2 linked regions of the Macaca mulatta genome follow. Each later gene encodes a partner of the first gene's protein in a complex. Links are inferred from orthologs where the notes say so. Each region holds a gene or a part of one and is shown on either strand. Other genes may lie near its edges.

Region 1 (3,510 bases):
GAAAACCTAATTAAAATAAATATTCATTCCTGGGTCAAATTTTATCTCCAAACTATGATCACTGATAACTTTAAATCTTAAATAGATGTTTCATAAAGCTGGAAAGGAAGAGGTATATATCACTGAGGGAGAATAGCAAGTAAAAATATTTAAGACCTACTATGAGAGTTTTAAACTGTTTTCTTATACAAGTGAATTAAAATTCAACACAATTCTTACCCTTTTGTAAAAAGCTCACACGCAACTTTTACCAAATATAACCACATACAATAAGCAGTTTCAGTTCAATCTATCAAAACCGAAGTTTCTTCAGTTCATTCCAACAAGTATCTTCTGATTGAACCCAAGTTGGAGGAAGGAATATAGACAAAGCTTTACATGCTAATTACCGGTGGCAGGTACCTGTATTTAAAATCAACAATTATGGTTTTCCTACACAAAACCCCAACCCTCCCACCCAACAACCCCAGGTGCTACAGTTCCATGGCTTGCCAGTAAGTAGTGTCTATGTTGTCAAGGTCTATCTTTGTTCCAGTAGCTTTGCTTCTACTGCACTTTTCTGACATGCAGAAATGAAGTTTTGGTTGGCGTATGCCCCAAGTTTCAAACTGTCCGCTTTAAACTTTTTTTAAGTTTCTTTTATTTATAAAAGAAAAAAAGCAACTCTTCACCATTCTGCATCTCCAATGGCTTTGGAAAATATATAATCTCTTCCATTAAGATTCATAATGCCATCCTTGAGATGAAATTTCCATTTGTTTTTACTTCTGTGTATCTAAACGAAAGCAAAATTTAAAAAATTGAGAGATACAATCAGAAAACAGAGAAAACAAGTAACAAAAAATCCATCCATACACACACACACGCACGCACACCCACACCCCCCCACCTCAACAAAACAGTATTTACAGTATTGTATTTACAAACTGGTTTATTCTGTTTTTGCAGAGGCAGGGTCTCCCTATGTTGTGCTGGCCGGGCTCGAGCTCCTGGCCTCATGTGATCCTTCTGCCTCAGCCTCCAAAAGTGTTGGGATTACAAGTGTGAGCCACAGCACCTGGCCTAAAAATTGGTTTCTTAATAAAGTTTTTCACCAAAAAACAAAAACAAACACACACACACACACACCAAAAAAAAAAAAAAAAAACAAAAAACCTCACTAGGTGGGTTTAAAAACAAATTTATCTGTAATTAGTACTATTTTATAGCTTTTAGTACTTGTGTTCATTAAAATAGTTAAAAAATATTTCTTTACAAAATGTCTTCTCTCTCTACCAGGTTTGCATATTTTCAAGGTCTACCTCCAAAAGACTATCCTCCACAAAGTTTTCCCAAATCTTACCAGCTAAAACTATTCTTTTCCACTGTTAAATTCCCAATGGTATTTTCACTGACATTTCTTACATTATTTGTTAAGTAATACAAGTATGGACTCGCTTCTTCTACCAAAATAAAACTCCTTATAGCGCTCTCAAGACCTAACGTGGAACCTTATACATAGCAGTATTTTAAATATACATCTAAAGGATGCTAATCATCCAGTCACTTACAGCAGATTTCAAAAACTATGTACATCCACAGTTAAACAAAAAGAGCCGAAGGGCAGGCTCTGGGCACTCCCATCTTTGCCTTCACTTATAGTCCTTAGTTGTTTGTAATTCCATGGATTTGGTGGGGGAGAGGAGTTGTAAAACTTAATGAACTGAAGTGACCTTTCTTCCTTTTCCCAGTAATTCACACTAATTATTTAATGTTCAGTTCAAGTTCCACATCTTCTGCAAAGAAGGCCCCATGGTTCTCCCTATTCTATGATCTAAAGGTACCTAACAAAAAAAAAAAAATCAACTAGTTCAGGCTTTCATTTTCAGAAGAAGAAATGACAGCTTGGATAGGGTTCAATGGCTTGACCAAAGGTATACTGCTACTAAGTGACAATCATGATTTTCAAGTCTTGGTCCAGTACTCTTTTTACTAAATCAGTCTGTTTCACATAATAATGCAGAAATGCTCAACAGGTACAGATATTTTCTTTTTCTTTTTTTTCTTTGAGACAGAGTCTCACTCTGTTGCCCAGGCTTGGAGTGCAACGGTGCGATCTCAGCTCACTGCAACCTCCCACTCCCAGGTTCAAGTGATTCTCCTGCCTCAGCCTCCTGAGTAGCTGGGATTACAGGCACTCACCATCACACCTGGCTAATTTTTGTAGAAATGGGTTTCACCAGGCTGGCCAGGCTGGTCTTGAACTCCTGACCTCAGGTGATCCGCCCACCTTGGCCTCCCAAAGTGATAGGATTATGGGTGTGAGCCACTGCGCCCGGCCAGGTACAGACATTTTCCAAGATCTCATTCCTAAAATTCCATGGCCTAACCTCCCAGTGCAAACATTCTTTATGACATATTCCTGGCAAATGGTTGTGCAGTATCTGCTTAAATACGATTAGAAACAGTAAGCAAAGAATTTCAAATTAAGTTATTCCTTTTTGGAACAGCTCTCTTGTAAAATCTTTCAGAGTTTACCCTTACTGAAATCTGCTTCTCCAACTTCCATTTGTTGATCCCAGCTCTGCTTTTTGAGACTTTAAAAAAAAAAAAAAAATCACTCTATCAAACAACCTTCATCTTATTTGGAAACCACTCTCATGTTCTTCTTCTGGATTCAAACTTTTCTTACTTATTAAAGCAAAACAAAGCACAATAAAGGTAAAACAGCAGGTAGGGCAGAGACTGCTGGACTAAGAGCTAATTATACCTCTGGTCTAAATACACTACGTAAATGCTAAATGTAGCATCTTAAGATTGATGACTTGAATGTCTAACAGACATACCAGACTTGGCATGTCCAACCAGCTCCACATGCAGCTTTTCCTCATCTGAATTGATGGTATCACCATCCTTCTTTCAGAATCCTCATCAAAAAATCTTGAGAGTCATTCTTGATTCCTCTTTCTTTTCTACCACACATCTCAGAGTCAAGAAATCCTGTTAACACTCTTCCTTCAAAACAAATCCAAGATCCAACTAGTTCTCACCAACTTTAATACCATCACCATAGGCTGAGTCACCATTATCTCCCATTTGAATTATAATAATATCCCCCTAAATAGTCTTCCTTGTTTCAGCAACCTCTGCTTCCTCCTCATATTCTGCTCTCTACAAAGAAAGCAAAGTAATCCTTTCGAAATTTAAATCAGTTCATACCACTTGTCTCACTGAAACCTTCCAGTAACATTCTAATTCACTTAAGAGTAACAGCCATGTCCTTACAAAATCCTTACCATCCACCTTCCCTTACTCTACCTCTCCACCTACTACTGTACTCTCCCCTTCCCTCACTCCAGTCCAGCCACACAGGCCTCCTCGCTGTTCCTCACATACAACAGACTCTGCCACCAGACAATAGGGCTAACTCTTTCCAAGTCTTTGCTAAAATGTCATTTTCTCCAAAGACCTATTATGACTATCCTATTTAAAACTGAAACCAAACCTGTCCTCTTTCCCTGATCTTTATTT
Region 2 (4,158 bases), on another chromosome or scaffold:
CACAAGCGCGCACGCGTACTAGGGCCCGAGGCGACGCGCGTGTTAGAACCGAGACGAAAGCGAGTGGGTACCTGGGAGCTGTCCTGGTTAGTTTTGCGTCTAATCTCGTGAGTTCTCGCGATTTAAGCGCCGAGACTGAGAACCTACTTAAAGCTATAGTAAAGGCATTGGAGGCACTGGAGGATTGAGCTAGATGGGCAGAAGAGAGCGATGAGCGTTTTGAGTTTTTTCACTTTCAGGCTTAACGCCTCACTGCTAGCCCAAGCCGCCCGTAATAAATCACATTTAAAAAGGAGCTTCCGGGCCGGGCGCGGTGGCTCACGCCTGTGATCCCAGCACTTTGGGAGGCCGAGGCGGGCGGATCATGAGGTTAGGAGATCGAAACCATCCTGGCTAAGACGGCGAAACCCTGTCTCTACTAAAAATACAAAAAATAAACCGGGCGTGGTGGCGGGCGCCTGTAGTCCCAGCTACTCAGGAGGCTGAGGCAGGAGAATGGCGTGAACCCGGGAGGCGGAGCTTGCAGTGAGCCGAGGTCGCGCCACTGCACTCAAGCTTGGGCGACAGAGCGAAACTCCGTCTCAAACAAAACAAAACAAAACAAAACAAAACGGAGCTTCTGGCCGGGCGCGTGGCTGGAACGGTAGGCGAGCGGGCAGCTCGCCTCTAATCCCAGCACCTTGGGAGGCCGAGGCGGGCGGATCACCTGAGATCGAGACCAGCCTGGCAAACGTGGTGAAACCCCGTCTCTACTAAAAATACAAAAATTAGCCGGGCGTGGTGGCGCGCGCCTGTAATCCCAGCTATTTGGGAGGCCGAGGCAGGAGAATCGCTTGAACCCGGGAGACGGAGGTTGCAGTGAGCCGAGATCGCTCCACTGCACTCCAGCCTGGGCAACAGAACGAGACTCCATTTCAAAAAATAATAAACAAATAAAAATAAAAATTGCTTCGTGTTTTGGTCTTTATAAAGGCAAATCAATTGAGCATCCCAATGTCGCGGATTCACAGAACGAGCACTTTTTATTAATAAGTATACTTGGCTTTGTTTTCAGGTGTCGTTATTTGTGCAACGACATTGAAAAACAAGCAGAAATAAAACATTAACGGGACGGATGCGACAGCAGATTGCGGGAGCTGTCCTCTCAATCAGCCACCGGCAGCGGCGGCCCACAATTTGCGCGTGTGCAACCCAACTCCCGCCCAAGCTTGCCCTACAATTTGCGCAGGCGCAGATCCTAACTTTGGCGTCCCTGTGGGCGGCCTCTTGTGTGAGACGCACAGTATTCTGGGAACGTCGGAGACGGAAGTTACTTGGTCTTTAGCTCCCGACGCTGGTGGCTTCTGCGCGCTTTTTGTCTTTGATTTCGAGTTAGGAGCTCGGGAACCGTTTGGCAATATGTACGACGCGGATGAGGGTAGGTGAAACACATGCCACGGCGGTCCAGCAGGGAAGCTTGGGGAACTGATTGGATTGATGATTGGGGCCTTCCCTCCCGCCGGCCGGACAGTCCCTAGCCTTGTTCCCACACCTTTCAGGCCGGGAACGAAACTGGGGTAGGGAGAGGCAGAGGGTGCAGGGAACACAGCGTTAATGTTCCCGGTTAGGTTCACTGCTGCTCTGCACTTTCTCGTTCCCTTAGATCTGATCCTCGCTTCCTGTAGTGAAGTAGCGTGCAGAACCGTAAGATAAATTCCGTGGTTTTGAATTTGAAGCAAAGAGCACCCTTTAAAATTTTTCCTTAAAGCCACAGTCGACTTACTGAATAGCTGAAGTGTTGAGTGTCAGCCTGTGTCAGGCAGTGTGGAAGGCCCTGGAAATATATCGGGACAGAGAATATCGGGGGGGAGGGTGGGAGGACTCGGTTTAGTCTGACATTTCTTCATGCTGTTTGTAAGTCAAAGTAAATTGTCTTAAAGGATGGCGTTTAAATTTCCTCTTCTCACAGTGTCACAGTTCTCACAATGTCACAGTTCTCAGATGATATGTATTCTGCTACACTGGACCAATGTATAATATCTGTTTCTTTGCGCATATGGAATTCTTAGTAGTGGCCGAGCGCGATGGCTCCCACCAGCACTTTGGGAGGCCGAGACGTGCAGATCGTTTGAGGCCAGCCTGACCAACATGGGGGAAATCCCGCATCTACTAAAAATACAAAAATTAGCCGAGTGTGATGGCGCGCGCCTGTAATCCCAGTTATTCGGGAGGCTGAGGCCACATCGCTTGAGCCCAGGAGGCAGAGGTTGCAGTGAGCTGAGATTGCGCCTCTGCACCACAGCCTGAATGACAGAGTAAGACTCTTGTCTTGAAAAAAAAAAAAAAAAAAAAAAAAAAAACAGAATTCTTAGTTGAATCTAGTGTATTTTCATAGCTGCCTTTTCTATTCTCCATATCTACTAATGCAAATCTTATTTTCTTCTAGCTCTCAATTCCTTGGCCACCCCTTACATCTCCTCTCTTTATTCCCTCAGCTACTTCTGATAAATGAGATGGAAAAAATTGAAGCAAAAGCTTAAACTTTTTAAAAAATTTTTTTTGAGAGATAGGGTCTGGCCATGTTGCTCAGGCTGTTCTCAAACTCCTGAGCTCAAGCCATCTGCCTGTCTCAACCTCCCAAAGTGCTGGGATTACAGGCGTAAGCCACTGTGCCCAGCCAAAAACTTAAACTTTTAAAGCTGTTTAAACTTCTGTCTCATTTATATCTTGTGTTCTAGAAATTTATTAGCATCATTATAGTACTTGTTCTTTTTAACTGTTATCTCAGTAGAAGAAAAATTCGAAAAAAAGATTTTTTAAAGCATAATTTTTGGCTAGGTAATACATTCTCAGCTCACAAGCCAGAAAGTTTAAAAACGTTAAAGTGGGGTGGCTGGTACAGTGTCTCACGCATGTTATCCCTGCATTTTGGGAGCTTGAGGTGGGTGGATCGCTTGAGCTCAGCAGTTCAAGACCAGCCTGGGCAACAGGGGAGACCCCCTCTCTATAAGAAATGGAAACATTAGCTGGGTGTGGTGGTGCTCACCTATAGTCCCAGCTACTTGGGGAGCTGAGGCAGGAGGATCGCTTGAGCCTTGGAAGTTGACACTGCTGTGAGCCAAGAACAAAGTGAGACCCTGTCTCAAAAAAAAAAAAAATTAAAGTGTCAGGTCTCCTTCTTACCCACCATCTGCCCAGTTTGAACTCTCCACAGTGGGTAACTACTGTTACAATAGATTTTAATCACTCCGCAGTTTCTTTTTTTTTTTTTTTTTTTTTGACAGTCTTGCTCTGTTGCCCAGGCTTGAGTGCAGTGGTGCAATCTTGGCTCACTGTAACCTCCGTCTCCCAGGTTCAAGCAGTTCTCCTGCCTCAGCCTCCCTAGTAGCTGGGATTACAGGCGTGCACCAACATGCCCAGCTAATATTAGTATTTTTAGTAGAGACAGGGTTTCTCCACGTTGGCCAGGCTGATCTCAAGCTCCTGACCTCAGGTGATTCACCTGCCTCAGCCTCCCAAAGTGCTGGGACTGCAGGTGTGAGCTACTGCGCCCAGCCTCCACAGTTTCTTTATGCATATTTGAGCAAATATAAATGGGATTTTTCTCCTTTTTTAAAGACAGAAAGTAATATTCACACTTTTCTCCACTTTTAGATTTTGCTTAATGTATCTAGATTTTTGTATCAGTACACAGAAAGCATCGCCCCCGCCCCTTCGCCCACTCCGCCAGTTACTTAGTTTGTGTGGATGTACCATAACTTAAGTAGTCTCTTGATGGATATTTGATTTATTTCTAGTCATTTTCGGGTTCAGTGCTGTAAATGAATAATCTTGTACATATAATTTGCCCAAGTATGTCTGTGGGATGCATTTCTACATATAAAATTGTCACGTCAAATGATACACACCTTTAACATTTTGCTAGATGATGCCAAGTGACCACCATAGTGGTGATTTGTACTAGTTTTGCAATGTATAATGATCCCGTGCAAAAAAGAGTTTATCATAGTTGCTTTAGCAGTGAGCCTACATTTTATTCTTGCCCATGTCCTCTGAAATGTTTATTAGATAATGTCCTCATCAGTTTTCAGCCACTATGTGAAAATGTCAGATTTCTGTCATCCACATGGAAACAAGTTAAACTTTTCATTTTTTCCTTTTTCTTCTAGTATTTTACCT

Evidence for each region. The genes of interacting proteins can lie anywhere in the genome.
Region 2: GTF2A1 (region 1) and POLR2B share a complex: the UniProt entries of both Homo sapiens proteins name them as parts of the TBP-based Pol II pre-initiation complex. The link is inferred for Macaca mulatta from reciprocal best matches to the Homo sapiens genes GTF2A1 and POLR2B.

The regions. Positions count from the first base shown.
Region 1 is NC_133412.1:154,407,401-154,410,910, forward strand, and holds the end of GTF2A1 (transcription initiation factor IIA subunit 1), read right to left. Parts: intron 776-3,510; coding exon 668-775; 3' UTR 504-667; downstream 1-503. UniProt on the Homo sapiens protein: TFIIA is a component of the transcription machinery of RNA polymerase II and plays an important role in transcriptional activation. TFIIA in a complex with TBP mediates transcriptional activity.
Region 2 is NC_133410.1:76,509,918-76,514,075, reverse strand, and holds the start of POLR2B (DNA-directed RNA polymerase II subunit RPB2), read left to right. Parts: upstream 1-1,348; 5' UTR 1,349-1,398; coding exon 1,399-1,417; intron 1,418-4,158. UniProt on the Homo sapiens protein: Catalytic core component of RNA polymerase II (Pol II), a DNA-dependent RNA polymerase which synthesizes mRNA precursors and many functional non-coding RNAs using the four ribonucleoside triphosphates as substrates.